Linked DNA regions of Caenorhabditis elegans. The protein of the gene in region 2 interacts with the protein of the main gene of each other region in a pairwise test. Each region holds a gene or a part of one and is shown on either strand. Other genes may lie near its edges. The genes, in order: Y51H7C.3, txbp-3, H06A10.1 and asp-6.

Region 1 (8,076 bases), on a different chromosome or scaffold from region 2:
GCCTGAAATTAAGCTTTTAAATGGGGAAAATTGGCTTAAAAGGGTACTTTAAGCTCCTTTTCCATCTCTTGAGCAATTTCCAACTCGAGAATTGACCACAACATTCGTTGATTGAATTTTGGCGTAGCGATTTCGGTTTCTGGAAAAAAAATTAGGTTTCTAGACTACAAACTACACTTTTTCCTGCAAAAGAAAGACAAAAACCTTTAAAAAGATCCTCAAAAATGGTGGCGGGCCTCAAATTTCCGATATTTGGAGCAAATCTCTTGGTTTTCGCAAGCTCCGGGCAGTAAAATCCAATTCGAACTCCATCGACAAGAATATCCGCGAAAATTGGGTCATCTCTGTGGGCTCCACCGGCTGTGAACTCGACTTTTTCGAATTTTCCGCTCAGAAGCCGCGCCACGTGGCACGCGAAATGTCCCCGCTTCGCCGCGTAGGTCAAATTGAGAAAATCGCGATTTCCGAGAGCTTTTGGCGGAATTTCAATGAAAATTTGTTGCCCTTTTTCAGTGATAACGATGCTTTTCGGCGGTGTCCACTGAAATTCCGGAATACTCGACGACGTGGCATCCACAGCCTTTTGAAGATGATGCAGAGGATGTTTAACGTCGAATTCTGTCCAGAAATCGAGATTTTTGTACTGAAAATTCAAATTTTGGCCTAAAATTTCACTAATTAAAGGGAAAACCTGAATTTTCGGGCCATTCTTCGAGGTTTCCAGCACATTTTTTATTTTTTGAGCGATTTGACGCTGCTTTTCGATGAGTTTTTTGTTGGATTTTGGAGCGGTGTCTTCGCACTGAAAAATATAACAATTTTTTTGCTTGAAAATCGATTTTTTTGGGATTTACCAATAATTTGAAGGCGTTCGACATTGGGAGCACATCTCCGTCTGTCTCCATCTCTGCAAATAGAATTTATTAGTATTTTGCTCCCAAAAATCAATTTTTCAAGCTAAAACCAATTTTGAAAACCAATTTATACACTAGAAATGACAAATATTCAGTTTTTCATTTAAATTTCACAAAATTACATTCAAAAACTAGAAAAAATCATTGAAAACTCGAGATTTAAGGCTAAAATCAACAAAAAATAAAATAGAGTGTCTCTGTCGATTTACGATAAACAACACGTTACTGCGGGATTTCGGAGTGTCGTTTGCCTGCTTTCGGCGGAGTTTCAAAAGCAGAAATTGAGTGGAAAACGGGGAAAACAAGGGAAATGACAGATTAGAACACAAAAAAAGGATTTAAAATGAAAAACTGCAGAGTTTTGGGACATTTTTCAGGGAAAAACACAGATTAAGACGTGTTTAACGTCTGTTTTCGAAATAAATTTTTGAAAATAAAGTCTAAAATGTTTTTTTAACTTTGAAACGATCATATTTCTAAATTTTTAGAGCTAAAAAACAATTTTTTATGAAAAAACATGTTAAAAATCAAATTTAAAAGTTCCTACAGTACCCCTTATTGCTCGTCAATTAAAAGGCCAAGTACGCAAAAGTACGCAACCTGCCTGCTGCCGCCAAACTTTGAATTTCAAATTATTTCCCTCCAAAAAATCAATTTTCCAGTTTTCTACGAATTTTCATCAAATATTCATGAAATTTCCAATGTTATTTTTTGTTTTCTTTTCATCACAAACTCTTTCGAATTCTCTGATGAATTTTAAATTCTGTAGTTTCTTCTTCTCTCCCTCTCGCCGATTCAGCTGGAATTTATTTCTAGAAAGAAAAGCGAAAAAAGATGCGAATTCACTGAATTTATAGGCTTGTTTTTGGACCGATACGCACACACACACACACAAAGCTATCCATCATTTTAATTAATTCTTTTCGTTTCGTTCTCCATTTTCTCTCAGTTTTCTCGTTTCCGTTCATTCAAATTTGTTTCAGCAAGCTCCCGCGACGCAAAAATGAAGTTCCTGACATCAATTCTCGGCTCTGAACGTGAGTTTTACCTTAAAAACCCCAAAAATCAGATTTTTCCATTTGGTCTGCTACACTACAAACTACAAGGTTCGATTTAGCAGACCAATAGGATTGTGAAGAGATTTGGTCTGCTAGACTACAAACTACACAATTCGATTTAGCAGACCATTATCGGGAAAATCCTATTAAAACATGCATTTTCGCAATTTTTATTTAATTTTTATACTTAATCTTAATTTTAAGTGCAAAATTGATAGTTTTAAATGATTTTTTCCATTTTTTTTTGCTAAAATTCGTATAAAAATCGGTCCTTTCTTTGAAATTTAGTCGATTTTCGCTCAAATTAAATGATTTTAGACTTTTAACTAAGTTAAAAACACCTTAAAATCACTAAAACTAACATTTTCCAAATAACCGGACTTTAATATCAATGAAAAACCGCCAGAAAACTCGAAATTCAGTGGGTCTGCCAGGCTACAAACTACAAAGAATATTTAGCAGACCAGAGCGTTTTTCATTGAAAAATAGGCAATTTTCGCTTAAAATAAAGCTTTTTTGACCTAAATTTCTTCAAAATTACCCTTTTTCAGGTGATCGTGCAGCCAAAAAGCGTCGAAGTCTCGAAGTGAACCTGCACCGCCTCGAAGAGAAGGCTTTCCTCTTGGAAATGGAGCTCGAAGAGACCAGAAGACAAAAAGTTGGCTATTTTCGAGCGTTTAAGCATGATTAATTCAATTTTTTCAGGAAAAAGTGATCAAAGAGCTCCGCAACGGGCTCCCAGTTCGCCACGTGTCAACAGTCAGCGTCTCGTCGACCGATATGTCCTTCAACACGGATTCCTCGAATGTATGCACCTTTTTAAATCGATTTTCGCATTAAAAACGTTATTTTTCAGGTCACCGATCATTATTGTGGACTTCCGATCGATTCGAGCACGCCGAAGGAGACCTCTAAGAGAGATTTTCAGCAAAAACACGAGCAATATGCCGAAGAAGAGGGGGAGCGTGCAAAATGGCAAAGCTCTGCGAAACTCGGCGAGAAATCGGAAAAATCAGAGAAATCTATCGAAAAGTACTAATTTGATCTACTAATTTTTATTCGCACTTTTAATTTTCTTGTCAAATTTGTGTAAAAAGCGATTTTCAGAGTAATGAAGGCTTACAGATGACTACAAACTACATTTTTCGTGGAGTTGCAATGCAGAAGATATGGGTCTGCTAGGCTACAAACTACAAAATGATGTTTAGCAGACCAATCCAATTTCTGATAAATTTTGGTCTGCTAGACTACAAACTACAAAAAAAACATTAGCAGACCAACGAATTTCTAAAAATTTGGGTCTGCTAGACTACAAACTACAAAAAATATTTAACAGTCCCAACCAGTTTCTAATAAAATTTGGTCTGCTAGACTACAAACTACAAAATGATATTTAGCAGACCACTGCTGCTTTTTTGGCATTTTTCCACATAAATTTGGCAAAATCATGATTTTTAATAGAAATAAAACATTGTGGGACTTTAAAAACGATTTTAATAAATTAAATAATATGATAATGCGCCTTTAAATACACTTTCCGCCGTCCTGGATCCACATTGAATAGGTGTCTCAAAAAGAAGACGCCTGAGCCGAACCAGTTCTCTTCCAGGGACCAATCCTGGCGAATTAGGGATTGAAAGCTTGTTTTGATGGTTTCTCTGAAAGTCGTAACTTTTTTTTTTCGGTGGAGAATAGTAAAACTAGCATAACTCTGAAACTAGAAGGTTTGGCAGACAATTGTCGACTGCAAATATGTACAGAATAATATTAGCTACAATTTGCCAGTTGACAAGTTTTGCTAAGCTCAACCCAGAAAATAGTTATGGCAACCGACGTCTCACGGGCCAAGAACGCCAAAAATGGCCCGCAAGGTGTCGGCCGTCGTAACTTTTTTCTGGGTTGAGCTAGAACAAAGTTGTCAACTTACAACTTGTAGCTAATATTAATCTGTAGTCTGTACATTTTTGCAGTTAACAATTTTTCGATAAAACTTTTAGTTTTCAGGATATAGCACTTTTACCTCAACTCCCTCACAGCTTTCTCGTTACAAGTTCCATTTTCAAATGTAAAAACCAAGTTTTGCCGTTTCAAAACATCCATCTTCGAGTCTCCATCTTTCCGACCACCATCAATTTGTATTAAAACCGGAACCATCTCACGTGGACTCTCGAAATAGTTAAATGAAGACGATATGGAATGTGGCAGGAATTTGCATTTATATCCCTGATGACTGCATAAATAACTCATGATTGTTGAGTCGGGGCTTTGAAATGTCAGCATAAATGAGATTACCTGGAAAATTTGAATATTTCAGAAAAAAAACGGGGACTTTTTTGCTTGAAAATCGAGGTTTTAAGTGGTTTAGAAAAATTATAAAAATATGGGTATGCTAGACTACAAACTACAAAACATATTTAGCAGACCAAAGTTTAGAAAAAAAGTTTTTGCTATCAAAAATTCAAGTTTTCAAATTTTCTCATTGGAGCGTATTTGCACAGCGTGGTTTGCGGAAAATTCAAAAATTTTGTTACCTGTTGAAAAAACTGATAGGACACAGGACCCCCTCTGACAAAAAACGTGGCACCACACGCCAAATCCTTATTCCGGAAGTAATATGGAGTTTCGTTACCGATGGTGTCCAGGATTAGGTTGTAATTTCCATATCGAGACTCGAGTTCCAACTGGTCAAAGCTTCCGGTCCAGAGGGTGTCCTAAAGTTATTTGGGAGTGCTGATGAGATCACGGAGCCTACCATACCTACAGTGCCTACCGTGCCTACCGTACCTATAGTGCCTACCATGCCTACCGTACCTACAGTGCCTACCGTACCTACAGTGCCTACATTGCCTACAGTGCCTACAATACCTACAGTGCCTACAGTGCCTACAATGCCTACAGTGCCTACAGTGCCTACAGTGCCTACAGTGCCTATAGTGCCTGCCATGCATATCGTACCTACATTGCCTACCGTATCTATAGTGCCTACCATGCCTACCGTACCTACAGTGCCTACCCTACCTACCGTACCTACCGTACCTACCGTACCTATAGTGCCTATAGTGCCTATAGTGCCTACCGTATCAATAGTGCCTACCATACCTACCGCGCTTATCGTGCCTACAGTTCCTACTTACTCACCTGCTTACCAGGCTATTTGTTTACCTGCTTAACTACAGTACCAACCGTGCCTACCTTGCCTAACATACCTGAGTGCTTGCGTGTCTACCTACTTCTTACCTACAGTACCTGCGTGCCTCATTGCCTACCTGCCTATCTACCTTCAACCCAAATTTATGTATCTTGGTAGTAAATCAAATCAAAAATATTTGCGATGCGCCCAACATTTTCTGGGTTTGACCACCCACTATAAACTTTCGCAAATAGGTAGATACAAGGCAGATAGGCAAGCCTTGTAGGCAGGCACAACATGCCTACCTGATGCATGGACCAAAAGTCTATTCCACGAAAAGCCAGGCTAGCACATATCTGTGCATGAACTAGCAGGACGAGTGAATATGATAAATATCCACGTGGATCCGGTAATGAGCTTATCGATTTTTTGTGGCCTGTCAGGTCAAATAGAAGGTTCGGGATGTTTGGATGCTTCTGCTTCAGCACTGAATGGGAGTTCGGGTCAAATGAGATTGCTACCAGTCGGGATAAAGAATTGGGGATGAACTGTAGATTGCAAACGTGGTTTAGGACAACGTCCACGTTGGTAGAGTCGTACTGAAATTTTATTTAGACTACAAACTACAAACCACAAACTACAAACTACAAACTACAAACCAAAAAAAAAACAAACTGAAAGCTAATAACAACAAAAAATCAGTCTTACTCATACCTTACAACCTACACTATATGCACTATTAACTATAAACTACAAACTACAAGCTACAATCTTATAACATAAAACTACAAACTACAAACTATAAACTATAAACTATAAACTACAAACTATACACTACAAACTACACACACTTACTAATATTAGATATGGAGCTTTTGGCATTTTTCGAAGACTATTTGCAAACTCGTCGAATTCCGTGTTATTATTGACAGCTTCAAATGTGAGCTGAAAATTTGAAAATATATAGGATGAGTTTATGAAAAATTACCTTATTTGATATACCATTCAAGTTGTAAAGAAAATCCTTGCGCCGGTGAATTTGAGCGTCCTGGAAGACTTCCTGAAAGCTGACTGTTTTGGGGAAATTCCGGAAATCTTTTTGATAAAATTGATGTGCTGCCAAAGTTAAGCCGTAAAAGACATGGTGCAACAGTACTTCAATAAAAGAGTGTCTATATTTATATATATATATATATAGACAACAAAAGTATAAAAGTAAGTAATTCTAATATTACCGCAAAACATTCTATGAATTCAATGTTCCAAAAATTCAATATTTAAAAGAGTAGGCTTGGGCTATGACATACATTTTCCAGCGTATCTTGATAAAAGGAAAACAATAAAAATGGAACGTTCTAGGGAACTCGCAGCATTTTAGATTGAACAAAACAGACAACTGTAACTATACTGTATATACTACTTAAACTGTATATACTGTATGTATATAACTATACTGTATAAATAACTGTAAGTATTTTATTTCCCCGTTATTCTGTTCTGTTCAACGATATTTAAAAGATTAACTTTATATAAAAGTGAACAAATTCTCTTCTGTACGCCTAAATCAGACCCAACTTACCAAAAAGCGTATTCCAAAAAAATAGCAAAACAATGTATAGACAATAAAGATGTAAAAGTATTGTATATTAATGTTACGGCATAACATCTTTTTATTAAAATTTCATATAAATCTATGTATATATGCAAAACTATATTAATGTGTAATGTGTAACATGACATAGATTCACGGGGGCTTATCTTGATTGAATTTACTATGCGCAGGTGAATAAGGAGGAACGTTCCAAATTAAAAATACGCGAAACGGGCAAGACTTGGAAAAAGTAAAGTTGAAAAATGCCAAATTTTTTATTTTGATGCACCATGTCATGGCCTAACTTGGGCCGCCCATATCTCAATTCTCTAGAGTTTTATCAAAAAATTGTCAACTGGTAATCTGCTTCCTGTTGGTTTTTTCTATAGTTTGATAGTAACAACTATAAAACATCTTCCAAATGGAGTAATATATGAGTTGTCCAAGTTGACTAGTACCAATTATCGATGCAGCATGTCTTAAAACTCATGTGTCTCAATTGTCATTGGTTCTTTTAAAAAATTGTCAACTGAGACAATGTTTGCTATCACTTTTTCTATAAATCTGTATTTAAAACATTCCAAAATCTTCGAAACTTACTGGAATACGCACTATCAAAGTAGAAATGCAACACTTACAGAGGCTTTATTAAAGTATCACAGTTTAAAAATTAACTGAACAATTGTCATTAAGTAAAAGCCCAAAATAGTTTTATAGCCCGAATCCCGATTGACCAGCTCATCATACTTGTACAATGGCTCTGGAATATCCGGTTTATTACTATCGCAAAGCCCGGTGGCCTGATCGCAAGTGGTGTTGGGCGGACAAGCCGAGCAAGTAGGTCCCGATTCGTAGATGGTACCCCCCAATGTAATCACCACTGTAAAAATGATACTATTTACCGAAAATAGGTGCTCACAACTCACGTTCCCCAATAATGACACACGATTTTAACATTGTACGTTTTATGTTCCTCATCCCAGGCACACACTTTCACCCCACATCCGATGTCCCCGACGCCGGCCCAAGCCATTTGTATCGAATGCCCGACGCCAGATTCATAAAGCTCCATGCTCATTACATCCGTGTTCCATCCCCTAACATTGAACTCCGTGTTCCAGTTTTTTTGAGAACTTTTGAGGATTTGTATCCAAAATGATTTACATCTTCTGACGCATTGAAGATCATTCCTCCCCACATATTTTCTCCATAAATGTTCGGTTCCAAATGACGTGAAGGACATGTGTTCACGTAGTTTTGAGCCGAAGTTGCAACTGTCGAATTCCATTTCTATAATGTTAGCTGCTTGGAAATGTTGCCACTTTTTTCAAAGCCTAGGTGCTAGGGCTTGCATGCAAGGCAGGCGCGGTTACAGGGCCTGAC
Region 2 (7,539 bases):
TAGTAGGCTGCCTACCTATGTGTCAGCCTACTTGCCTAGAACTCTACATGCATGCCTACTTAGCATACCTTCCAATATGCCTACCCATGCCTGTTTATACATACATGCCTTTGGCACGATAGCGGGCGACAGAAAGTACCACATCCATCTTACTTTACCAGAACAACGCGAACGAAACATTCATCGCGAAGAAGTTCGAGAAAAGTCAAAACTCAGAGATCCACTAATACAAAATTTTCAGTTCAACTGCGACCCCGAATCGAAGAAGATCAGAATATCGAAGTGACAAGTCGAGACATTGACGAAGCTGATATGGAACGGATATGCAAAAAATTCGCAAAGGAGAAAATCAATCCAATCACGATGGCAGAGCCGATCGACGAAAAAACGAAGATTTTGTTGGATAGAGTCACTAAGAAACCATATCCACTGAAGTATAACAATGAAAAAGGATTGCTGTTATTCGATGAAAGATCCTCATTCTATAAGTCAAGGGAAAAGAAGAAGGCTGAAAAATCTGAATCTAATCTAGAAGAAGACACTTATGGACAAGTACCAAAGTTGAAAGATGTTCAGAGGTTGCCACCGCAGAACGTGTTCAGCCGTCCTGGAGTACCGTTTTGGGCAGTCACTTTGTTACCAACGGAGGAGGATTTGGTAAGGAAGCGGGTGTAGATTTACGAGAATGAAAGACCAACGAGTAATTACAGGTTGACGTTGATCCATCAATATCAGTTGGAACTGAACATCTTGAAATGTATCATTTGAAACAAGTACCACTTCAAACTATCAAAAAATCAAAGTTAATACTCAATGCACTTCAACCATTGTCTATATTAGAAGATCGTGATGATATTCATTTCACGCCGGAACTTGTATTTTCAAATACAATTCGATCGCTTGTTCATGCTCAGGAAATGGAAGGAAAACGAAATGAAAGTAAATCAGATGATGAGGGAAAGTCCGATAAGAGTTTGTCATTTGTCATTGAGAAGCAGGAAGAGTTTATTTATTCAGTAATAAGATTTACTGATTTGATATCTAATTATTTTCAATCATTCAGAGAGCAAATCCAATCGAGACGGCTAGAATGGCTCGTAGGAATCGTAGAAGTAAAGGATCGTCGTCGAAGAAGTGAAACTGAAGTCTTACTTTTCTTAAGTGAATATTTATTCGGAGGCAAGATAAAAGAATAAATGGTCAAATCACAGATTTTTTGTTGTTGAAACACAAAACAATTGAAAGCTATTTTGGAATGAAGTGAAGTGAACAACCCAAAGTTATACGACTAAAATTCTATTGACTGAAATTGAAACTATTTTTTTTAGATTTTTTAAAATCCGATAATTCGCATGATTTTTTTAAGTGAAGAAAGACTGAGAACAATATCTTAATGGGAATTTTAGACAAAAAAAATCAATTTTTCGCTTGCTCGTCTTCTTGTTTCTTCTTTTCTCTATCTGCTTTCCACGAGGATCCGTCCAATTTTATAGTTTCTAACCAATCATCACAAATTAATTGTTCATTTGGATCTTTAACCATTCCAGTCAATGCCATCAGAGCTTCTCCGTCTTTTACATCAAATCCTTCGCCCAAAAATGCATCGATTCGAGCACGAATTGCCACGAATTCCCCATTTTTCTTGAACTCTGAGAATCGTCCAGATTTGTCGTTTAGGATGAATCCATCTCCATATTTTTTGATGAATCTCGGGAAAAATATCTCTCCGGGCTCTTTTCCTGCTTTCGATGTGCTTCCTGTTTCAGTATTTGTTTCCAAATCGTAGAATACAAGTCGTTGTCTGAAAAAAAAAACAAAATGTTTTTATTTCGAATACAGATTCCGAAAAAACTATTAACACTTGTTAAAAATTACAAAAACTCACTTTGAGAACATATTCATTGGAAAATCGTTGATTGAAGCCACCAAAGTCTTGTCATCAAGTGCACAAATTCGTGAAAAAGCTTCTCCAGGCTTTGATTCAGCAACAACATCCCAACCGATTGGAGTGTCCAAGTGTGTTCTGAAATTATAGATGTAAAAATAAAATATAAAAAGTTGCTTGAAGGAAACATTTTTAATTTAAAGAAGGAGTATCGTCAAAGGGGAAATTGTTTTAAAATGTAGTATTTGTACTCAAACTTCCAATTATTGCAGAAGAAAAACGGAAAAATCCGTTAACATTCAGCATTTAGCCGTTGAAATCGACGAAAGTGGCTGAAAGTGGCTGAATTTGAATTTCGCGCGCAAATGAAAAGCAACCACGCAACTTTTAGGTCATATTCGTAAACAAAATATTGATTTAAATGTAATTTTTTCGAACTTTAATTCGCTTTTCTTTCTCAAAAAGTTCAAGAAAACTGGGAAGAAGAAATTGTATTGAGTATTTTTTCAAAGGACAATACCAGAACAAATAAAAATTCGAAAGATCGTCGTGGCCTAGGATTTCTCTAGTTAATTTTTGAAGATTTTTTCGACTTAAAATGCTGAATCTAAACGGATTTTTCCCGTTTTTGTTTTGTAATATTCTTAAGTTTGAGCACGAATACTACATTTTAAAACAATTTTCCCATTGACGATACTCCTTCTTTAAATGATTTATTTTAATTCTTACGTCATGATAAAATTGTTTCGATGTCCTGGTTCAGCTTGCTTCACAATATACATATCGCCACTATCAGTGATTGTCATGGAATTTACTAAAAAAAAATATATTTTAAAAAATGTTTTATACCAGAAAAACTTACATAATCCTTCGATAAACGACTCATGAACAACATCTCCATCAAGTGAAATTACTCTTAAAATTGTCGTTCGATCAGAGAATTCAGCTGATGTGTAGATTATCTGTAAATTTGAATAATTAATAACTTAAGTGAAAATAATTTATTGTACCCTGTCTTTGTACGAAATTACTTGTGGAAATGGGGCCATTTTCTTGAAGAATTTCTTGTCTTCGTGCAGAGTTCGGAGAGTTTTTCCGTTGAATTTATATAAACCGCCTTTTGAAGCTACCTGAAAAATGAATAATTTTTAATTGTTGTTGTTTAATTATAATATACCCATATATTGTTGTCTTGGTCGTAAACAACGTTATAAGGAACTCTTGCCCCTCTTGGCTCCAAATGAAGAAGCATTTCATCAAATCGTTGATAATCACTGGTGTCTGACGGTTCTTGGGTCATTTTTATGCTGAAAATTGAAAATTTATTAGATAATTTATCATTATATTTAGCAAAAGAAATGAGAGTCAACGATTAACTAAAAATTTAAGAGTTTTGCGCAAGAGAAGTGTCTAAAAATCAATAAAAAATTTCACCATACCCAGCTCGCTGCGAGACCTCAATCAATAATTTGAATGCACTCCTTTAAAACCACAGTAATCGGCGAAGTGAATTTGAATATTATTAGATTGAACAACATTTTCAAAGTGAATTCACATTTAAAATAAAGTGAAAATAAAGAAGATTTTGGAGTTAAACATGGTTTAAAAGTGGGAAAAATGTTTTAATTTGAACAAAAATGGTTTTTGAAAATAAATCGATTTCTCAAACATATATTGTGGAAATTGGAAAATCTACAGTACCTAGCATTAAAAAACTTCTTTTCCGCTACTGATTTTAGATTTTTAGATATTCTTTTTTCTTGACTATATTGTTTTACATTGAAATAATTCATTATTAATTATTATAATATCTTTAAAAATATGCCTGCAAATAGAAACATGCAAGACTGCAAGATTTGGAAACGTTAAATAAAAAATTGAGGGAAAAAGATTATTCAATACAAGTAAAACCAACTTTCCATGGCCGCAAAAAGCGATGTTTGGTCTTATTTTTTCAATTTCTCTTCCACGGCCACCAATTCAATTATTCTCTTATCGGCAACACTTGTACAAGGTCGCCATCTCAATGACAATCCGAACGGAATTGAGTAAAAATGTATGCAAATTCGGCCATGAGAGTAGGAAGATGAGATAGTGTAAGAAAAATGGAGACCAGAGGGGGTTGAAGACAATGAGTCACACCTCATGTTGTATGTGTGCGTTTCATCTTTGTCCGTGTTCCGACACATTTAAACATTAGTTTTTGAACAAAAAACCTCATTTTCTTTTCAATTTCACTTTTAAATACTTTCCAATTTTCAGATCAAAAAAAAATAATACAATGACAGCATATGGTCATATGCCAGGAGAAGCAATTGAATGTTTGTCAATTGCTGTTGAATTGCACAAACAAGAAGTTATTGATGCTCATGGACAAGTCACAATTCGAGTTGGATTTAAAATTGGTGGAGGAATTGATCAAGATCCAACAAAAGCGCCATTCAAATATCCGGATTCTGGAGTTTATATCACAAACGTCGAATCAGGATCGCCGGCGGATGTGGCTGGATTGAGAAAGCATGATAAGATTCTGCAGGTAATTATGAAATTTTTAAGTTTTCTTTTCCCAGAGACAAATGATCAAACTTTCTTGCCAACATATACATTGTTAATTAAGAGTACTGTAAACTTACTGCCGAATTTTCATCGATCTTGCATAGTTTTTCTCATGAGTTTTTGGAAATTTTTGTGTTGTTATATTTCAAATAAATAAATATACTTTCATCAAAAAACCATGCAAAATCGATGAAAATTCAGCAGAAATGAGAATTTGAAATTACAGTACTCTTCTTAGGCAATATTTTCTCATTCAACATAAATTTGCGTGAATTAAACTGAAGTGAATTAAACATTTGGCCAATTAAAAAATTTTTGGTAGACAAACTCAAGAACGTTCGAACATTAGCTTAACATAAGTTTCCAAAAAATTGAAAACTCCTCAAAATTTTTCTAGATGATATTGAGAACATCCTCTAACAAACGGACACCCCAACTAAATAATATTCTCTATTTTCAGGTCAATGGAGCAGATTTCACAATGATGACTCATGATCGAGCTGTGAAGTTTATCAAACAATCAAAAGTACTTCATATGCTTGTTGCAAGAGCCGATCTTCCTCCTGTCAGTCTTCATTAACTCAATCTCATTTGTTCCGTTCACATTCAAACTTGCCCTTTTCAATTATCTCTCAAACTCAATTCTGCGCATATATTTTGATATTTATCGGGTTCAAAAATAAAAAATTTTACTTTTTTGACGACACAATGCATCATTTGACAAGAAAAATTGGTCATTCGTGTTTGGAAAAATGAACTGAAAATTTCATAATTGCCTGTAAATTTTTATCATACAAAAATGAATTATTTCAATGTAAAAAATAAAGTAAAACAAAAGAAATTATAAATCTGAAATCTGTCGCAATAAATTTGTTAAATTAAAACATTTTTTCCACTTTTAAACTAGTTGGGATATTAAAATCTTTGTTGCTTTCACTTTATTTGAATTGTGTATACACTCTGAAAATGTTTTTAAATCTAAATAATGAATTTCAAATTTACTACAAGGATTACTGTAGTTTAAAAGGAACACACGTGATTTCACTTGATGGATTCTTGGAACAAATTCAATTGTGTAAACACAGAAAAAGTGATGTACTAACAAAATGTAGTATTATATGCAAATGAAACTTGTAGTACATACTAAAGTCTTCTCGAATCATCTCGAAAATAATAAAATAGTATTTTTTAAAACTTTTAAAAACTAGAAACATTCAATTTTTATCAGAACTCTGAAATTCAAAATTAATATTATCTTCATCATCGGATGAATCCATAGTTTTCCCTTCTTCTTCATATAATTTCAGCAAAGTTCTCTCTTTTTGTTTTCTTTCTTCCGTCACTTTTTCTAATTTTTCCATTAATTTCGTCATTTGAACTCTGCAAAATCTCGGTTTTTTCTGTTCCTAAAACTTTGAAAAACTAACTCTTCTCTCCTCGAAAAATTGCGATTTTCGTCAATTTCTTCCTGTTTTTCTGCAATCAATCGGTCCATTTCTACAATTTCATTTTGAAAGTCTTTGACTCTTGACTCGAAATTGGAATATCTAAAAAATACTCAATTATTACTTTTCCACCGAAAATACCAACTCAATTATTCTTGTTTTTCGAAAAAAAAAACTAACTTTCCAATAAAATTTTGAATTGTCTCCGCATGGCTTCGCACGTTTTCAGATTTTTCCAGCGCCTCCTCTAGTTGAGCTTGTTTCTCCGCAATTCGAGCATCTACTTCGGATAGGTAAAAATCAATTGCATTTTGGGATGAAGCCATTTTGATGTATACTGGATGTGAATGTGCTCATGGAGGAGATTTCTGGGTGCGCTCAATTGGAAAATCCCATGTTTGCTGGCCAGTTCCTGAAATTTTCTAGTACAACTACGAATTGCAGGGTGAAATGAAAATCTTTCCTTGTAAGAGTTTTTACAATCGTTTCATGTACTTTCCAACAGGAATATTAATTTAGAAGAAAAATTTTATAATAACTGAAAGTGGAGGTTGTAAAGTTAATCAAAGTGGAATAATGTACTGCGCAATTTAGAATTCTCGAGTGTGTTTGAAGACAATGAACATTTCATGTTCTTAACTCAAGTTTTTCACTAAAATCAAAATTTGACCGAGATATGCTTGCAAAGTTGATCAATAGATACTATACAGTATGTCGGAAGCATTGCTTCAAACAATCATCCAAAACACTCAAACTGAGTCCATTTTTATTGAGTCGTTCAAAATTCATGATTCAAAAAATTAAAAATGAAAGGAAATCGAGAAGAAGATGTCAGAGTTGTTGATCAGGAAAAAAACAAAAATAGGTAGAGATTGTGAGATTCAGAGACAGAAGTTGAAACATACACACACAGAGAAAAGAACAGATAATGCTACTGTCATTGTATTTTTAGAAAAATAATATTTGAGTTATTTCCCGGCCCATGCGTAAAACTGCTTCCTTTTTTCCATTGATGGTCCAGCTTCTTGGGCAATTGAGTCTTCAAAATAGTGAACTGGTGCCGATGATCGTTTTCCGGCCCATGCGTAAAATCTGGAAAAAATTAAATTAAAAGCTGGAAATTCGCTCGTTCAATTTGTGACTCTGTGAGTTGATGGCGGTCCCCCATCCCGATCACGGTTACCTTCTGATTTTTTTAGCAACAAAGGCGACTAAAGGGAGTACAGGGAAAATATGGGGCGCCCGTTGTTCGCCCCCATCGAGCGCCACTGTCCGTTATTCCCCCTCCATTTTATGGCCCTGGGACAATAATCATAAAAACTCTAATAAAAAAACTATACAACAATGTTTTTAACTTATTTCTGCAAGCTACCATCCTCAAATGTTTATCCAAAAGCTCCAGTCAAAAAATAGATATATACATAAGTCAACGTTACTTTCATTTGTGCACCTCTCTGTGCTCAATTTCTTTGTTCGTTTGCTTGATGCGACAAATTGGATCTATTTTTCATTTGGAATTAGTTTTTTTTTGAAAAACACTACAGTAACTCCCAACTTTCGCCAATTTTTGATCGTTGGTTTTAAGTGGTTTTCCAGGGTCGGAAAGTTTGGATTTTGAATTCTATTCTAGTTTTCAAACTGAATTTTAAATGA
Region 3 (9,397 bases), on a different chromosome or scaffold from region 2:
GCTACAAACGAAATGGTGGAAATTGACAAAGAAATTGATTCAAATTAGAACAGTTTTTAATTTCCGCCCAAACCTTATTGTTTTTTGAGTCGTTTTTGTTTTACCTATAAGTAATTCTTTTGAAAAATATTGGAGGTTTTCGTTTTTTGTTATACAAATTTCAACACAATCGCTTTTCCCGGAAATGTGTACTTTACTGCTCATTGCCTCAGTTTCCTCCACCCGTTCCTGTCACTTAATTGGTTGGGTAGTCATGGCCAAAGAAAAGTGTAGAAGAGCCCACAGAGAGAGAGCGACGAGAAAATAGCAAAACGGGACAAAACACGACATTATTATGGAGTGGAGAGTATTCGCCCCGGAAAAGAGGAAGAAGCACGGACACTTCGCTACCCGCGCGGGTCCCGAATTAATGAGGTGGTGGTCGCTAGTTTCCCCCTCACCCTGTCCGTTGCAAAAGCTCCATGTTGAATATGAAATGGAGTGAAATATGTGTGAGAAATGGATTTCAACATGTACATATTCGTTTCCGAGGTCGTTCGTCGAAAAGTAGTACGAATTATTTAGTGTTGTAAGAACAATGGGCAAGAACGTTTAACGAATCGAGCCCAGAATAGTTTAGGAGGTAGCGAAAACGTGAACAAAAAAAAGTGTGCAGAAGATGAAAAATGTAAAGAGTTGGATGAGGACGTGACGGATGGATTGAAATTTGAGTTCTTCTTCGTCTTTTTATTTTCTTTCAGAGTGCATAGAATTGAAGGCAAACAATAGTTTGAGAGAGCCGCTAAAGCTTAACAAGAGCCTAAAGGGTCTAATATGAGTTTTATCAAATGTAAATTTTAATAGATATGTCTGGTGAACTAAAAATTGGATTTTCATTATTTTAGTGAGATAGTGGTTCAAAAAACCCTCATTCTTCAATACATAAGTTTTCATTAAAGGTGGAGTAGCGTCAGTGGGGAAATTGTTAAAAACAACTCCCTCGGTCCAAAAATGACTGAATATCAATAAAACTTTTCAAATAATTTTTGAAATTTTTTTTATTTACTGTCAAAAAATGACAATTACTCATTTTTTGCTACTCTTAATTTTGGAAGTCTACCAAAAAAATTTCTACCTAAATATTCTATACTTTAACTTTGTTTAACTAATTGTATTGAAACATTGTAAGGGTCGAAACATGTGACATAGCTTTGAATTTCCTCAAAGCTCATATTTTTAAAATTTTTGGCAATTTGCCAAAACTTCGACCGAGAATTATGGGAAATCTAAAATTATTTGGAATGTTTTATTATGATATTCGGTCGTTTTGGGTCATTATAAATGTATTTAGACAGAATCCATGGGCGCTACTCCACCTTTAATATTCAGAATTTTGAGCACTGGATAATTTTCAAAACTTGCTAAGAAAATGCATATTTTTTGATAGTTTTTTGTATTGAACAGCTGAAAAAAAAGGTTATTGCTCATTTGAGTAGGCTAAACTTTGATGCTCAATACAAAAACAAAAAGACGAAAAAATGAAGCTTCAACTTGATTCAAGTGAAAGAATGTGAAGAAATGTCGTCGAGCTCGAAAAAATTGAGAAAATGTGAAAATTTGTGAAGAAGTCGTCTGTCAGTTCGTTTTCTTCTTCTTATTTTTTGTCTTCTCATTCGTTTTCGTCGCAATTGAATAAGAGGAGAAGAAGAGGAAGGAGCTGAAGAAGCACGGCGGGAGCTCAGAAGTGCTAAATGAGTCGGGCGGCACTCTCGTAAACCAGCTTACTTTCGAAGATTCAAATGGAATTTTAAAATTGAACAAGAAGATAAAATACAGTGATAAATGGGGAAAACCTTTTTTTTTTTGTTTTTTGCTGAACTGAAAAATCATACCGAAGGAGTGTAACCTGTAACATAGCGCTAGCGGAAGTTTTGCCAAAACATACTCAAAGTGAGCTTAAGAAATACTTTTTTCAGATTTACTGTAGGTGAGTTTCGAATTTGAACAAATACAGAATTTCAAGTTTTTTAACGTATGGACCTTTGTTTTTTTTACAGCATAGAAGCTACTTCACTAGATTTATTCAGCCAACTTTTGAAGAATGTATATAACTTCAAAAGTACGCGGAAATTTCGAAATTCTTCAAGACGATCTAACCAGATCTAACCAATGTTACTCAGAAAAACAAAAAAAAATCTATAAAATGAACGAAACCATTTCATACAACTTTTAGTTTTACAACACTACAGTTTTTTATTTGAAAAAATTTATTTTGCGTGATTTCCATAACTATGAAGTTCAAAGTTACACCAACCAAGTTCCGGTGAAAACTTCAAGTTAAAAAAGCACTACCGTTAGTGCAATCTCAGTAGTACATCAATAAAACGACAAAAACGATGAAAAAGAGCGCACCCATTTCATTTTCATTTGGGTTACACATTTCATCACCACTAATGGAAATCGGGTTTGACGAATGGCAGGGTGATGTAATCCGGGAGCGTGTCAGAGTGGGAAGAAGAAGAAGAAGCACATCTGCTCTTTTTCCGTCCACCATTTTATGCCTCCAGATGGTGAGAAGAGGAGTAAGAAAAAACGGAAGACGTGGGAAGCGAATAAAGCAGGAGGGGGAAATCTCATTAAAAATTTCTAGGTGCCCTTTGCTCGATTTCGATGCCCGAGGGGTTAGCAGGTTCTGGTTCTGGGCAATAATAAGCTGGTTGTTTTTGGTACTCGTCTGGATTCTATTGAATTCGTCTGTGCGCTTGAACGCCCAAGCTTAGTGTTCATTGGAAATATTTGAAATTTTGAAGCGATTTCGAAAGAAATAACGCAATGAAAACCATTTGATACAGGTGGAGTAAAGTTTGAAAATACTTTTTTGTAGAATAATTGTAGGTTTATTTACAATATTTTTATTTTAGTCTTTAGATCAGGGCTTCCAGTCAAAGGCTTGGAGTAGTGCTAAAAGCGGTTATTTGGCCGCGGTCGACATTTTTCGGGTTCCGTGCCGCATTATACAAGAGAAGCGGCTTGCGACGCGAGGCAGGCGTTCTGGCGCCTTACACTGTTATTATCACTAGTAGTATTTTAGGTAGACACTCAACATTTTTATGAACTTCTTTGAACTTCTATACGTCATAATGTCATTTTGTACTGAGGTTTTTAGGCTAGCTTTTGAAAAAAAAAAGCAATTTTCGTATAAAACCCAATTCAAACATTTTACCGTAAGCGTGATATGGATCATCTTTTTTTTAGATTTTAAATATTTTATTTTCCCTAGCCAAAATATAAACTTTTCTGTTATAAAACATTGTGAACAACTTTTTTTTCAAATTCACATTTTTCGAAATGCTCCAAAAACACTGTATTCAAATTTTTACAGAATTCAGGAAAACTATTATTTTAAATGTGGAACAGATATCAAATTAAAAGCAAACCTTTAGTTTGTAGCTTTTGTAGGTTGTCACTGGCTACACCTCGCATTTTTCATCATATAAAAAATGTATCAAGATTGTTTGAACTTGGTAGCGATTTGAACTGTGAATTTTTATTTGATATGCATAAACGTTTATTCCAATTTGAAAAATGCAACGACGTTAGCGCGCGTGTTTCAAGAATATTTCAAACTGTCAATGATCCAAACGTTATTTACTAACAAAAATAATAGAAACATTTATTCAATTTACCGATCGCCGGTGTTTTGAGATGAACCTTCTTTGAAATGGTTTTGCAGTCACCAGAAAACAAAACCATTACAATGTACTCCAATTTGGAAAAGAAGAACTGAGACAATAAAAAAGTAAACTGTTTTCACTTTCGTCTCATCTCGACAAATGATGTAGCTGTTTAGGGTTAAAGCAGAGAAGTAAAACTTGACCAGTTTTTGGCCATATAGGTCAGAAAAGCAACGCTTTTTCTTTTATTTCCTTTGAAGCAAAAGACCAATAGTTATCATTCTATTCAACATTATATCCAGATAACTTACTTGATTTTCTCTCTATTGACATGCGGAACAGCGAATTTTTTCTTATATTCATAATATCATATTCAGGTAAGAAAAACATTTGAAAGCAAATTGACACTATTCTTCTTTTTTGCTTTTCAGGAGTCATACGTGCCATTGAGTACAACGGAGTTTCTTTGGGCGAGTTCAGTGAGAGTGACGTGGAAGGAGAAGTTTTTCTTGTCAACTCAACACATTTACAAATTGTTAACTTTAGGACTACAAAAACAAGTAAGAATTTTTTCTCGAAAAATCAGTATGAATTGTGGAAAAACAAAAAAATTTCGAATCTTATTTAAATTCTAATAAATTCCTGTCTAGGGCTGGCATATTTGGCGCCCGGTCGTCCGGTTTTGATAGACCTTTTCCGAGGGGTAGGTTTTCACGGCGGCCGACAATTTTCGAGTTTGGCCACAGACTATAATTAATCACATAATTGTTTAAAGGTGGGGTACCGAATTCTGGGAAATATTTTCAAATGACTCCAAATTTTCCCCTGATTCTGAATATCGATGTGAAAAAACTCAAGAAATTTCTCTGATTTTGTATTTGAGCTTAAAATCGCAATTTTCATTGTGCAATAAGCTTTATCAAATTAGCGAAGAAATAAATTATCCTTGGAGCGTGTTTGCTTCATTCAATTTTTTCCATATATATTTACTTTTTTTCAGTTTTTCAGCTATTTTCATTTATTTTTCTGCAGATAAAATGTTCAATTGGCACGAAAGAATATTTTTTTAATCTGACAATATACAACAAAAATGAATAAAAATAGCTGAACAACTAAAAAAAAAGTATGTGGAGAAAATGAAATGAAGCAAACGCGCTCCAATGATAATTTATTTCGGCGCAAATTTGAAAAAGCTCATGGGTGCACAAATGAAAATCGAGATTTTAAGCTCAAATATGAAATCAGGGAAACTTTTTTGAATTTTTTCACATCGATATTCGGAATCAGGGGAAAATTTGGAGTAATTTGAAAATATTTCAAAGATTTCGGTACCCCACCTTTAAGGTGTGGCTAAACTCGGAAATTGTCGGCCGCCGAGAAAACCAACCCCTCTAAAAATTTTAAAATTTCCAAAACCGGTCGCCGAACTTCCGATAAACCAGCCGTATACCTGTCAATATTCGAACGCGTTACTATGTAATACATAACATGTTTTTCCAATGTTTTAACGGAGTAGCGCAAAATTTGAATTGCTCGAAAAAAAAACATAATGGTTTAACACAATGTGTGCCAAACTACAGAAAAAAAAGCTACCTTTGCAGATCTTCCTCCAATTCCATTTGCTTTTATATCATCAAACAATCAAAAAAGTACTCCAAAAATCTACCGCCATTTTTCATCTCAAAACGGCGAATGGCTCTCAAAACTGTGAGTTAATTTATTGTCAAGAACACATCAATAATCACATTTAGGGTGTCATTGAGTCACGAGCAGCACCAAATAGACACGCGGCTAATTGTCAAAATGACGGGCTCAGCTGCGCAATGGAAGCAATTTGCAGTTGTTGATTCAAATGGGGTGAGTGTGGGGAACAGGGATGCAGCGTTTTTTTTCTGAATCATTATGTTTCAGAATACATTGGCATCTGTAAACATGAACCAAAAACCATCAGCACCATTTTGTTGTTTTGAAAGTGAAGCGGATATGGGGTTGTTCGGAGAGTACGGAATTATTTCGGACCCCATAGAAGTGATCGACTCCAGGACACTAAAAATTCCAAAGTTTTCATATAAAGCATCGCAAACACCAGGTACTGCTTTTTACACGTGAAGCTATGGAGCATTGTATTTCTTTTTAAAAAAACCTTTTATCTTAATAATCTCATGATACAATGGATGCAATCTTTGTCAAATCTTGAATAATGTTTAACAGTAAACTGTGTACTGCAGCTTCAGTTTTCAGACGGATACTTCTTTGCCGGAGCCGGATCAGAAATTGATCAAAAATCTGGGAAGAAAGCTGCTATTCTGCGAAGTGATCAAACCCTCAAGTAATTTTCCACTTTTTTATTGAAACATGTCCTGTTAATTTTTCCAGTTATTGCCCTATGCTGAAAGATATTACCGATCAGGATATAATTATACGCTTAGACCAGAGCCAAACAATTTACGACATTGAATGGATTAGTGTATTTTGCTACAAGTATTCACACGACTTTGGCCACTTGGATATGGGACTTGTTGAGAATGAAGAACAGGTTCCACCTTATATTCCGGATATTAGCATTTCAGAACCACATGTAATATCCCAAAACTGCTAAATGTATCTTTAATGTTTCTTTATGTAACTTGATATGTTTTAAATTGTAAATGTGTTTTGAAAATGCTCTAAATTTATTGGCAAGACAAATGAAGTCAATTGCAAAGTAATGGTAATAATAATAAATGGAATTAACGCCGTGTTCCATCCTCGAAGAAAATTCCTCCGTCGATGGCGCAGTACTTGGGGCAGATTCCCTTTTCTCCTTCACCTCCAGCTTTTCCTGGTGGTCCTGCAGTTCCTGGGTTTCCGTCTGGTCCTGGAGCTCCAGCTGGTCCTGGTGGTCCTGGTGGTCCGGCAGCTCCTGGGGCAGCGGTTGGACTGGCTCCATCTGGTCCCGGTGGTCCTGCTGGTCCTGGTGGTCCAGCTGGTCCTGGTCCTGCTGGCTCTGGATAAGTGCTCTCTCCAGCTGGTCCATCTGGTCCTGGAGTTCCGGCGGCTCCGTCGTTTCCTGCGGGTCCTGCTGGTCCTGGTGGTCCTGGTGGTCCTGGTGGCGATGGTGCGGCTGGTGATCCTGCTTCTCCGTCTGGTCCTGCTGGTCCAGCTGGTCCATCTGGTCCTGGTGGTCCTGGTGGTCCTGCTGGGCATGGCTGACATGGTGGTGGAGTTTTTGCTTCGCATGGTGCAGATGCCCCCTTTCCAGCGGCTCCCGGAGCTCCTGGTGCTCCTGGCTTTCCTGGCTTTCCTGGCTTTCCTGGAGATCCTCCTGGTCCTGGTGGTCCTGGATTACAGCATCCAGTGCATCCACCGCCAGCAGCTGCATCTGCAGCTCCGGCTCCTGCTCCAGCATCAGGACCTCCCGACGAGTATCCAGCCTGTCTTGCAGTTCTGTTCACTGACACGTCGCTATTGATTTCAGACCACATATCTTGCACCGAGTTCTGAAGTTCATTTATAATCAACACTAGTATTTTGAATTATACCTTGCAATACAAAGACTCGCGATGAAGTTGAGCCTTGGTATTCTCAACATAAGTGAAAATAAGTGGCAAAGTCAGACACAATGCAACAGCGGCAGTAACAGAGAATCCGACAGCCGAGTATGCAATTAGACGGTACGCTTTAAGACGAAGATCGGTTGGAGACTCCATTTTGAACTCTAGAATGCCAAAGCACACCACTGGAATGAGCTTCGTGTAAACCATGGGCATATTTATACTGCTTCTACTATTGAAATTGTTCTAGTATAGAACTGGTAGTTGGATCAAGATAGTAAACGATTGACTGCGAGATATCATAGTTTGGCAAAAAACAAACAACTTTTATGACGTTCTAGGTGTTTGTAAAATGAAATGGTTCTGGAATGGGATTCCAACAAAGAGAGAAACGATTGTATCTGGAAATATATCACAGAACATGAATGTGGAACAAGGCTTGAAAATTTTTGCTGATATCTCCGTGCAATTTAGTGAAATGAATGAAAGTTTTGAAATTAGATTTTATTATCAAAGTTTCTATAAATATTTTTCCAATTATGAAAACATGAACAGGGCAAAACATAATAATCAACTGAAAACATACACATACTTTTTAGGCATGTTGGTCAGAAATAACTTTTGCATATAGGTCTACAGAAACATAATTTTCAGGATTCGTGAATGTTGAACTAAAATCTGCACGAAAACACGTCTTAATTGAGAATACTTTTAAGTTATTTATTAATAAACCTTCGAGAAATAGCACACAAAAACTCATTCAGTAAAACAATTAGGGCTACAGATCGATAGTTCACATATTGTACAATTTGAATATAATATTTTTAAAAACTAACTATATATATTTGGCCGATTTTCAGTTTTCGTTTAAAATATTTACAACAATATTTGATTTTTTGGCACCAATAAAGTAACGTGTGATACTGTAAATACTTGTCAATATAAATGAATTTAACTTTATAAGTTTGAGAACATAATTTTATTTATGCTGCATGTTATCTGTTCGCAGCGAAAACTATCATCAAATACTTTCCGGTCAAAAACTTGAAAAAGGATGGGCCGAACCGGGGATTGAACCCGGGACCTCTCGCACCCAAAGCGAGAATCATACCACTAGACCATTCGGCCATGTTTCCCTGACATCTCTCCGTTATATATAACTCTTCCCTTGATGTCTCTGTTTCTCCCTTTACATTTCTTTCACTGTGTTTTTGGGTTGTTAAGGTTTGCGTCTCGTTTCACCTTCGCTCTCTTTAATTTGGTTACCGTATTTCCTCTATTAGTAAGGCATGCAATACTAATTTTCGGATACCTATTTAGATGCAATACTACTAGAGAGTGGAGGTGCATGCTTCGTGTGTCACCCAGAAAAACAAACTCCTTTGTGAAACAAGCTATAAGATACATAGAACAACGGCAATGTTGGTTTCCAGAAATTTTTTATATTGATGTAATTGCAAGTCAGGATCACTTTGAAATTCTTGGCAAAAATTGCAGCGTAAAACTATACAAAGGAAAGGATATTTTCCGAGTTTTGGAAATAATCTGTAGTCTTGACGAGCATTTAGAAGTCTATGCTAAACTTTATATAAGTAATTCTTTTAAAGAACTACAGGTTCAAAGAATTGTTTCAATTCTACTTCGTAAGAAAATATGTGTTGTGTGTGTGAACTTCATCGGAAGACTAATGCCTAAGAAACTTTTTCGAAGTTTTTTGAAAATTAAGACGAATCAGTTGCGAGTTGATGTGACAATACCACACGATATAAAATTATGCAATTATAAAATTAACAAATTATGGATTTTTTGCTTAATTTCATGTCCGTTGACCTGAAAGGTATCAATATCACTAGTCGACAATTGAACTACCTACTCAAGAAATGGCAGGAAAGGAGCTTTCGTTTAGTACATTTCAATGCAGTGCAAATAAAAACAAGTCTAGAGAAGTCTATCGTAATCGAAGGGACACAATCAACACCAGCGTTAGTTTAATTCAATTGTTTTATTTTGATACGATTAGTTAATTTTAGGTTGGTCTCCTGTTTCAAGATAATTCGAGTACATGACGGTGTTGCTCATTTCGAAATCAGTGATAATAACTTCTGGCTCATTGTTGGAAAAATTGTAAATTATTCCACGGCACAGTCTCTGTAACTAACAAGAAAAAATTCCCGCTCGTTGGAAACATTACGTCATTATCCCTATCCTCAA
Region 4 (7,951 bases), on a different chromosome or scaffold from region 2:
CATGGCCCAAAACTTACACCACCGGGATCAGAAAAGTGAATATCAGTAAGATTGAGGCGTTTCATATAATTATCCAACATATTTAATCTAGCCGTCGGTCCTGGCGGCTCTTGTGCTTCGAATGATTCAAGTAGAACGAAAAATGCAAGTGGCAAAAATACAAATGTATTCATTTTAGAAATTGAAATGAATTTTTTCAACTTAAAAAAATTTTTTACATTTTTTTTAAACTTTAAAACTCTTCAACACACGTATTTTTATTTAAAAAAAATCACAATCATTTTGGAGCAGGTTGCAAAGATGGAGCAAATCCCATTCGGAAGTTTCCAATATCATAAATGTTACAATATTGCCTGATAAACGGGTCTCCAAGAATCCAGGAAGGTCCAAAACCTCCAAAATCCATTGGGAAGAGAGCCATCACACACGTTCCATCGCCAACATCCGCAATATAATTGTAGTGTTCGATTTGATAATCATGGCCACCAATTGTAACTTCAAGTGGTCCAGGAGTAGCATCACAATCGATTACGTACGCTTCTCCAAGGATATAGTACTGTAACATTTTAGAGTGGAAATTAATTTTACATGTTTATTTGGTTTTTGAATGGGAAGAGTTAGTTTTACAACCGGCTTCAAAAAAGTTGAAGTTATAACGAGCGACTCCATTACTGTTAATATGAAATAAAATTTCAGTCGAAACAAAAAATATTCATAGTTATAAATTAAGGTGAAGATAAGATGAGATCTTATCAGGTTTTTATCTGATAAAAACTTACGGTAGCGCCAGCCTGCTTTGCAATTTCATTAATAACTACACTGGGACCACCCAAGAAAGAAGTTCCAGTATCCGAAATCACGTCAACAACTTTTGCATTCAAATATTTTCCCAGTCGGAATCGATTTGCCTTGAACTGAAAATAAGTGGCAGATGACAATGGCTGATATCCAATCACTGGTTCACAATTAGTAGTGTCTACTGCTCCATATGTGAACACTCCTCCTCCAACATTTGTCAATGTTCCTCTATGTTCCAAGAATACACTGAACAATGGTTGATCAAGAATTCCTTGTTTAATAGCATTGATAAGTGGTGGAACTACGCCATCAACAGCCAATGTAGTGAATGCAAGACCGAATATTCCATCGGTGGCGTCGTTTTTTAAATCTGCTGAAACTTGGTTTGCAATTCCGAATGTCGTTTTTGGGATTGCTAACTGATTTTCTCCGGTCGCTCCAATCTACAAAATTTTAATTGAAAGTAAGAATAATTGTTTAAAAATTATACCTTCACAATATCTTGTCAAATTTGTGTTTCGACTCACAATTTGCTCTAAAAGTTAAGTGTAAAAGTTCACTTTTAAATTTCATTCTTACTTGCATGATGTCCCTGGAATCCAAAGATTCGCGGAACCTGTGTCAAGGACAACAATAAAGCTCTGATCAGGAGTTCCAATAGTGATGTTTCCAAGATATTCAAAATCGGCAAAGTCATTGACCTAAATTAGTGTATGTGTTTATGAGAAAAATATCAAATAAAAGTTATTTTTGAAAGTTGGCTAGTTTCTATTTAAAAATTGTGAAACTTGCATAGAACAGGTTATCAGTACAAGTTTTAGATTATTTTAAAATTTGGATACGTTAAAAAAAACTTACATTCTGTGGCAAACTCTGTAGCTGCCAAGGATTACGGTTTCTTTGTCTCTCGAGATGTTTCTTATATGTTGCCCATTCTCCACTTCTCAGCATCTCGATCCTTTTTGATGGTTTCCATAATATTTTACTTTGATGTACTAATCCAGAAACAAAAACAAATAAACTTATAATTAAAATTATTGATCGCATTTTTCAAAAAGTGATCAATTTCCCCCTTTTCAATTCTGGTTTTAAGCTTTTTTTCATTTTCTTGCATCATCAAACGGCGGACTCGTTAATTTCGCTGATAACACAAGTAAACTGATAAGAGGAATGAAACATCGTGATTAAAATTCAATGCAATTCATTTCTGCAGAAAAATTGTTTAAATATTAGTTGTTTCAATTGTTTTATTATTGAAAAAGTATAAGTACATAAATAGTAATATATATTTACTTTTGGAGAGATGGAGCGAATCCCATTCTCTTGTTTCCAATATCGTAAATGTTGCAGTATTGACGAATGAATGGATCTCCAAGAATCCATGATGGTCCGAATCCTCCGAAATCGAATGGGAAGGCAGCGAAAAGGCATTGACCGTTTCCGGCATCAACGATGTAGTTGACTGGCTGGATGGAATAAGTGTTGGTTCCAATGGTAATATCAAGAGTTCCTGGCTGGGCAGCGCAGTCGATGAAGTAGACCTCGTTAAAGTCATCATAAGTGGCTCCAGCGGCCTTGGCGAGTCCGTCAACAACAGATTGTGGTCCTCCGAGGAAGGAAGTTCCGGTGTCAGAGATAACATCAACGGTCTTGGTGTTTGAGTATGATCCGAGTTTGAATCCGGCAGCCTTGAATTGATAGTAGGTGGCAGAGGAAAGTGGTTGGTAGGCAACAAGGGCTCCGCAGTTGGTGGTGTCAATGGCTCCGTAGGTGAAGACTCCTCCTCCAACATTGTTGGCGGCTCCTCTGTGCTCAAGCCAGACTGAGAAGAGTGGCTGGTCAAGGATTCCTTGGTTGATGGCGTTGATGAGTGGTGGGACAACTCCGTCGACGGCAAGGGAGGTGAAAGCAAGTCCGAGAATTCCGTCGGTGGCGTCATTCTTGAAGTCAGCGGAAATCTTGCTGGCAATTCCGAAGGTGGTGGTTGGAACAGACAATTGGGAGTCTCCCTTAGCTCCGAACTGAAAATCAATTTGATAAGGACTGATTTTTTGTAAAATTCACTTTGCCAGCTAATTTATATCAAGATTACACAACGCACACATTAATGCATTGAAGATAAACTTACTCTAACGGTATCTTGTCCGAGGATTCCGGCGGCATCTCCTGATCCGTATTGGATGGTCCAGGACTTTCCGTTCTTAACGAAGGTGCTGGAGGCAGTGGAATCGAACTTGCTCTTGGTCTTGCAGTTGGTCCTTCAAATAATCTTTTTAAATATTTCAGAACTGAAATCTACTCACTTGCAGGTTGGTCCTGGAATCCAGAGGTTAGAGGATCCGGTATCCAAAACAACGATGAATCCTTGATCTGGGGTTCCGATGGTGATGTTTCCGAGGTACTCGAAATCTCCAAAGTCATTGACATTTTGTGGGAGATTAGCAAGAACATTTGGGGACACAGCTCTGAGATTTCTCTGGTATTCAAGGTAAGCTGGATATTGTCCAGTACGGATCATTCCCATCTTCTTGGATTCCCTCCATACGATCTTGTGTTGATGGACTGAAGCCGATGCAAGGCCAAGAACGGCCAGAAGGATGAAGGTCTTCATACCTGAAAATAAATATTTCAGAAAAATATTCTAAATGGAAATGAAATTGAAAGTGTAGATAAACGAGTGAAATAATTTTCAATTTCAAGAGCAAAAATTGAAGTAGAAAATGTCAGATAGTGCTATGTTTTATACTTGTTGAGAAAACTCATGGGCGCACTGACGTAAGTTTAATTGGTTGATAAGAACCGCCTTCTTATTTGGTTTGTACCCGATCGGTGCGATTCTTATCACTAAAAAATGAAGTTTAGTGAAGAGAGTAGTGCCGATGATTCCGGCTTCTGGAAGTAACGACTGAAAACTGACGAAACAGCTTTTATGAGCTAATAAAACTCGAGTATTAACTGAATCAAAAGTGCGTAAAGTTCCGTGAACGGTACCCGGAGATGGATGACATTTGAGTCAAGTGCTGATAGGTCAATACCAGGTACACACGTAGGTTTACTGGCTAAATCCGGAGTAATACGTGATGAATTACGTAAGCGATAGGAAAGTATACAGTTTGAGCATGGCTAAAACTTGAACAGACAGAGTCCAAAGGATGATATAATGAATGACGAGAGCCTTATTTAAGGCATCACTGTAAGATTTTCCAACAATTCAATTTGCTCTGTATTATAGTTTTCAACATTATACAGTTTTTGAATTGAATAAACTTTTTGAGTTGGAAGGTTCTTAACGGCACTTTCTATCTCATCTTACTTCACAGTTAGTAAAATAGTTACAATAGTGCCCATTATTTGAATTTTATTTGAAAATTATGTCCATTTCCAATTGTTCCACAGCATTTTTTTTTGCAAAACTCCATATTTATATGTAGATAAACTTTTTGCCAGAAAACTTGCCAGGGAATAGTTAAGGATGAATTTTCAGCCTATCTTCCTAAAGACCCCAAATATAAAATTTTTGGTGGATTGCAGAGAAAGCTAGGCATGGTTTCAAGTTTTACAGTTCACCCTTTTGAATTGGAAATCCAATTAATACTGTACGCTTGTTTTGCAAGTGTACCCAAATGACATCACTATTTTCTGCAGTTTTTTTTCCGGCTCTGTATTATTTTGGCAGTCAACATGATAGCTTTATTGACATTTCTTTAAATCAAACGTTTTCCTCAATCATTTCCGCTGTTTTACTTCTCAACCTGTGACAGTACAAACATCTTGATCATCACGTGCCCAATAGCCAGGCATGTTGACTATGAGCCGGAACTTTTCTAGATAAGCTTCTTACGAATCTAGATACGTATTCTGATTTATTATCAATAATTTATCGCATCAGATCAAGAAAGTGAGAGTTCTTGCGTCAGATTGAAAGAATAATGGCCAAAGTTTCCAAACTTTGCACGGACATTCTAGTTTGCAAAGTTATGAGCTGAAGAACGAAAAATATTAGGTTTCTATGGTATTTAATCTTAAACGCATAAATTTTAGGAAGAAAGAACCATTTTAGTTCTTGAATACTTGTATTACACTTTCAAATACCCATATTTCAAGCATAATAGGACTACTGAACTTTTTATCGTACCGGGCATTCACACAGTCTCGCACAAAAGTCAACCTAAATGATATTGTATTTCAAACAGTTGTTCGTTGAAAAACTAGTAGAATCAAGAAACAAACATGATTTCAACCAAAATTAATGAAACCTCTTTTATTTCAAAACACAACACGCACTGAAAACATCGAAATATTCAATAAATCTTTTCAGAAATGAAGACAACTCTTCTCGCTTTTGTAGCCATTCTTGGCATGTGCTCGGCAACTGTGGTTCAGCATAAATTGATCTATCGGGAATCGCCAAAGATGCAAATGATGAGGCGAGGAGAATGGGGAGCATACGTTCAACACAAGGCTGCCCTACGTGACGCCAATCCAGCTGTGTTCGCCAGTGCTCCACAAAATGTCAATGATTTTGGAGATGTTGAATACCTAGGAAATATCACGATTGGAACTCCTCCACAACAGTTTATTGTCGTCTTGGATACTGGTTCTGCGAATCTCTGGGTTCCAGGAAGTAACTGCGAGTCAGTAGCCACCTTACACAATGGTTTTTAAATTTTTATCATTTTCAGTGGAACATGCAAAGGAAAGAGCGAGTTTGACTCATCTAAATCTACAACATTCAAGAAAAACGGACAATCATGGCAAATTCAATACGAATCTGGAAGCGCTAAGGGAATCATGGGAGTAGATACTGTTGCTTTTGGTGGTGCTTCAGAACAACAACTTCTTGTCCCATCTACCACTTTCGGTATTGCCTCTCACATTTCGTCTAACTTTAAGAATGTAAGATCTATTTCCCAGATTATTTGATTCTTCATCGGAACGAAACTTTCAGGACGCTGCTGAAGGAATTCTCGGGCTTGCCTTCACATCTCTTGCAGTCGACGGAGTTACCCCACCACTGATCAACGCCATCAACAAGAAAATTCTCGATCAACCTCTGTTCACAGTCTTTTTAGAACATAAGGGAACGGCAAAGAATGTTGGAGGAGGTGTCTTCACCTACGGAGCCGTTGACACTACCAACTGCGGACCAGTGATTGCCTATCAACCACTTTCATCTGCCACGTATTATCAGTTTGTTGCTGATGGATTTAAGCTCGGATCATACTCAAACAATAAGAAATCTCAAGTGATTTCCGACACTGGAAGTTCGCTCATCGGAGGACCAAGTGCTGTGATAAATGGCTTCGCTCAAGCTTTGGGAGCAAAAGTGAGTATCAGTTTAATTTTGACTCGTTGTGAGGGACAAACAGTTTTTTTAATCTTTATATCTAAACCTTTTCCAGTACCACAGCGATGATGATGCTTACTACCTCCCATGCTCAACATCTAAGGGAACTTTGGACATTACTATCGGAGGAAATGTGTATTCTATTGAACCTGTCAACTATATCCTTGATGTTGGAATGGGTGACACTTGTGTCTTTGCTGCTTTCTCATTCGATTTCGGAGGATTCGGACCATCATGGATTTTCGGAGATCCTTTCATCCGTCAATACTGCAACATCTATGACATCGGACAACAGCGCATTGGTTTTGCCAAGTCTCTCCAGCCTTCTTCAAAATAAACTCTATGCAATGCGATTGTGAGAAATGAAAATGAATACTTCAATTTACTTTTCTTCAGTGTGTGATCTACGTGATTATGGTCAAAAGTCCAACTTATACATATCGTCATGTACACCTTATTTCTTTTTTCATTTTCTGGACAATTTTGTGAAGTGAAAACCCACGTCACAGACCGTTATCTGATTGAGTATAAATGATAAGAAATCATTGTCAACTCAAATAAAATAGGAATTTGTTAACTTGTAGTACGAATTCTCCTTATTCTTATCTATTTCATAGACTGAGCTGTTTCATTCGTATTACCTTTTTTCTGTGTTTTGTCAGCTTTTCCTACTATTTATAATTTAATGTTAACTTTCACGACCATTTTTCCAGGTATGAAGACCACTTTCGTAGCACTAGTTGCCCTTTTGGGCCTGTGCTCGGCAACCGTTGTCCAGCACAAGCTGATCTACCGTGAATCTATCAAGATGCAAATGATGAGACGTGGAGAATGGGGAGCATACGTCCAACACAAAGCTGCTCTTCGTGACGCTGACCCAGCTGTGTATGCCAATGCTCCACAAAACGTCAACGACTTTGGAGATTTCGAGTATCTCGGAAACATCACCATCGGAACTCCACCACAGCCATTCCTCGTTGTTTTGGACACCGGATCTTCAAACCTCTGGGTTCCAGGACCATCTTGCGAGTGAGTAAATCCTTGTTGTTTTTGATTTTTGATAATTATTTTCCAGTGGATCCTGCAAAGGAAAGAGAGAGTACCAATCAACAAAGTCCTCGACTTTCAAGGCCAACGGAAAGCCATGGCAGATTCAATACGGATCTGGAAACGCCAAGGGATACTTGGGAGAGGATACCGTTGCCTTTGGAGCCGTCACCGAGAAACAACTCCCAGTTCCATCTACCACTTTTGGAATTGCCACACACATTTCATCCGACTTCAAGAATGTAAGTTTATAGTGTAACAAGAACTAATGTATATTTCAAGTATCCGAAAATCTATTTTAACACATGTTTTTTTCCTTCTGTTTTTTTCATTTTCTGTAATTAGAAGGACAGAAAAATGTAAAGCAAACAGCTTTTTAGTGCCGATTTTTATGACGATGACTTTAAGAATGCATTTTTACGATCATTATCAGTTCAAACACAGTGGCAAAATTTAGGAATGCAAAAATTTATTGCAGCTAAAGTGCTTCTACTCACATGGAATAGTACACAGTGGGAATATTTTCTCTTTCAGGATGCCGCTGAGGGAATCCTCGGACTTGCTTTCACATCCCTCGCTGTCGACCATGTCGTTCCACCACTCATCAACGCTATCAACCAAGGACTTCTCGATCAACCACTTTTCACCGTGTGGCTTGAGCACAAGGGATCTGCCAACGATGTTGGAGGAGGTGTCTTCACCTACGGAGCAGTTGATACTACCAACTGCGGACCAGTGATTGCCTACCAACCACTTTCA

Evidence for each region.
Region 1: the proteins of txbp-3 (region 2) and Y51H7C.3 interact in a two-hybrid assay, tested with the Caenorhabditis elegans proteins (one large-scale study listed by BioGRID).
Region 3: the proteins of txbp-3 (region 2) and H06A10.1 interact in a two-hybrid assay, tested with the Caenorhabditis elegans proteins (one large-scale study listed by BioGRID).
Region 4: the proteins of txbp-3 (region 2) and asp-6 interact in a two-hybrid assay, tested with the Caenorhabditis elegans proteins (one large-scale study listed by BioGRID).

The regions. Positions count from the first base shown.
Region 1 is NC_003280.10:1,436,593-1,444,668, forward strand, and holds Y51H7C.3 (Lzipper-MIP1 domain-containing protein), read left to right. Parts: upstream 1-1,897; 5' UTR 1,898-1,917; coding exon 1,918-1,951; intron 1,952-2,523; coding exon 2,524-2,630; intron 2,631-2,677; coding exon 2,678-2,779; intron 2,780-2,828; coding exon 2,829-3,011; 3' UTR 3,012-3,105; downstream 3,106-8,076. Other genes in the region: nol-6 (Nucleolar protein 6), read right to left, coding at 1-2, 48-139, 205-643, 692-802, 855-905; Y51H7C.12 (Nucleotide-diphospho-sugar transferase domain-containing protein), read right to left, coding at 3,474-3,630, 3,993-4,264, 4,504-4,683, 5,408-5,701, 5,958-6,047, 6,091-6,162, 6,682-6,768.
Region 2 is NC_003281.10:5,043,770-5,051,308, reverse strand, and holds txbp-3 (Tax1-binding protein 3 homolog), read left to right. Parts: upstream 1-4,147; 5' UTR 4,148-4,166; coding exon 4,167-4,421; intron 4,422-4,901; coding exon 4,902-5,021; 3' UTR 5,022-5,133; downstream 5,134-7,539. Other genes in the region: C45G9.15 (DUF851 domain-containing protein), read left to right, coding at 242-657, 711-1,016, 1,064-1,138; vtip-1 (Vha Twelve Interacting Protein), read right to left, coding at 1,417-1,801, 1,886-2,023, 2,615-2,699, 2,748-2,847, 2,896-3,015, 3,063-3,185; C45G9.14 (uncharacterized protein), read right to left, coding at 5,656-5,821, 5,869-5,988, 6,067-6,212; nlp-43 (Neuropeptide-Like Protein), read right to left, coding at 6,855-6,978. UniProt on the Caenorhabditis elegans protein: May regulate a number of protein-protein interactions by competing for PDZ domain binding sites.
Region 3 is NC_003284.9:13,503,728-13,513,124, forward strand, and holds H06A10.1 (DM13 domain-containing protein), read left to right. Parts: upstream 1-3,805; 5' UTR 3,806-3,984; coding exon 3,985-4,030; intron 4,031-4,084; coding exon 4,085-4,213; intron 4,214-5,254; coding exon 5,255-5,360; intron 5,361-5,404; coding exon 5,405-5,510; intron 5,511-5,564; coding exon 5,565-5,742; intron 5,743-5,894; coding exon 5,895-5,982; intron 5,983-6,029; coding exon 6,030-6,252; 3' UTR 6,253-6,382; downstream 6,383-9,397. Other genes in the region: col-185 (Nematode cuticle collagen N-terminal domain-containing protein), read right to left, coding at 6,383-7,132, 7,175-7,342.
Region 4 is NC_003283.11:8,265,527-8,273,477, forward strand, and holds asp-6 (Aspartic protease 6), read right to left. Parts: upstream 3,412-7,951; 5' UTR 3,410-3,411; coding exon 3,102-3,409; intron 3,057-3,101; coding exon 2,927-3,056; intron 2,820-2,926; coding exon 2,088-2,819; 3' UTR 1,985-2,087; downstream 1-1,984. Other genes in the region: F21F8.5 (uncharacterized protein), read right to left, coding at 18-173; asp-12 (Peptidase A1 domain-containing protein), read left to right, coding at 5,119-5,432, 5,481-5,694, 5,747-6,124, 6,201-6,482; asp-5 (Peptidase A1 domain-containing protein), read left to right, coding at 6,861-7,174, 7,221-7,434, 7,727-7,951. UniProt on the Caenorhabditis elegans protein: Aspartic protease.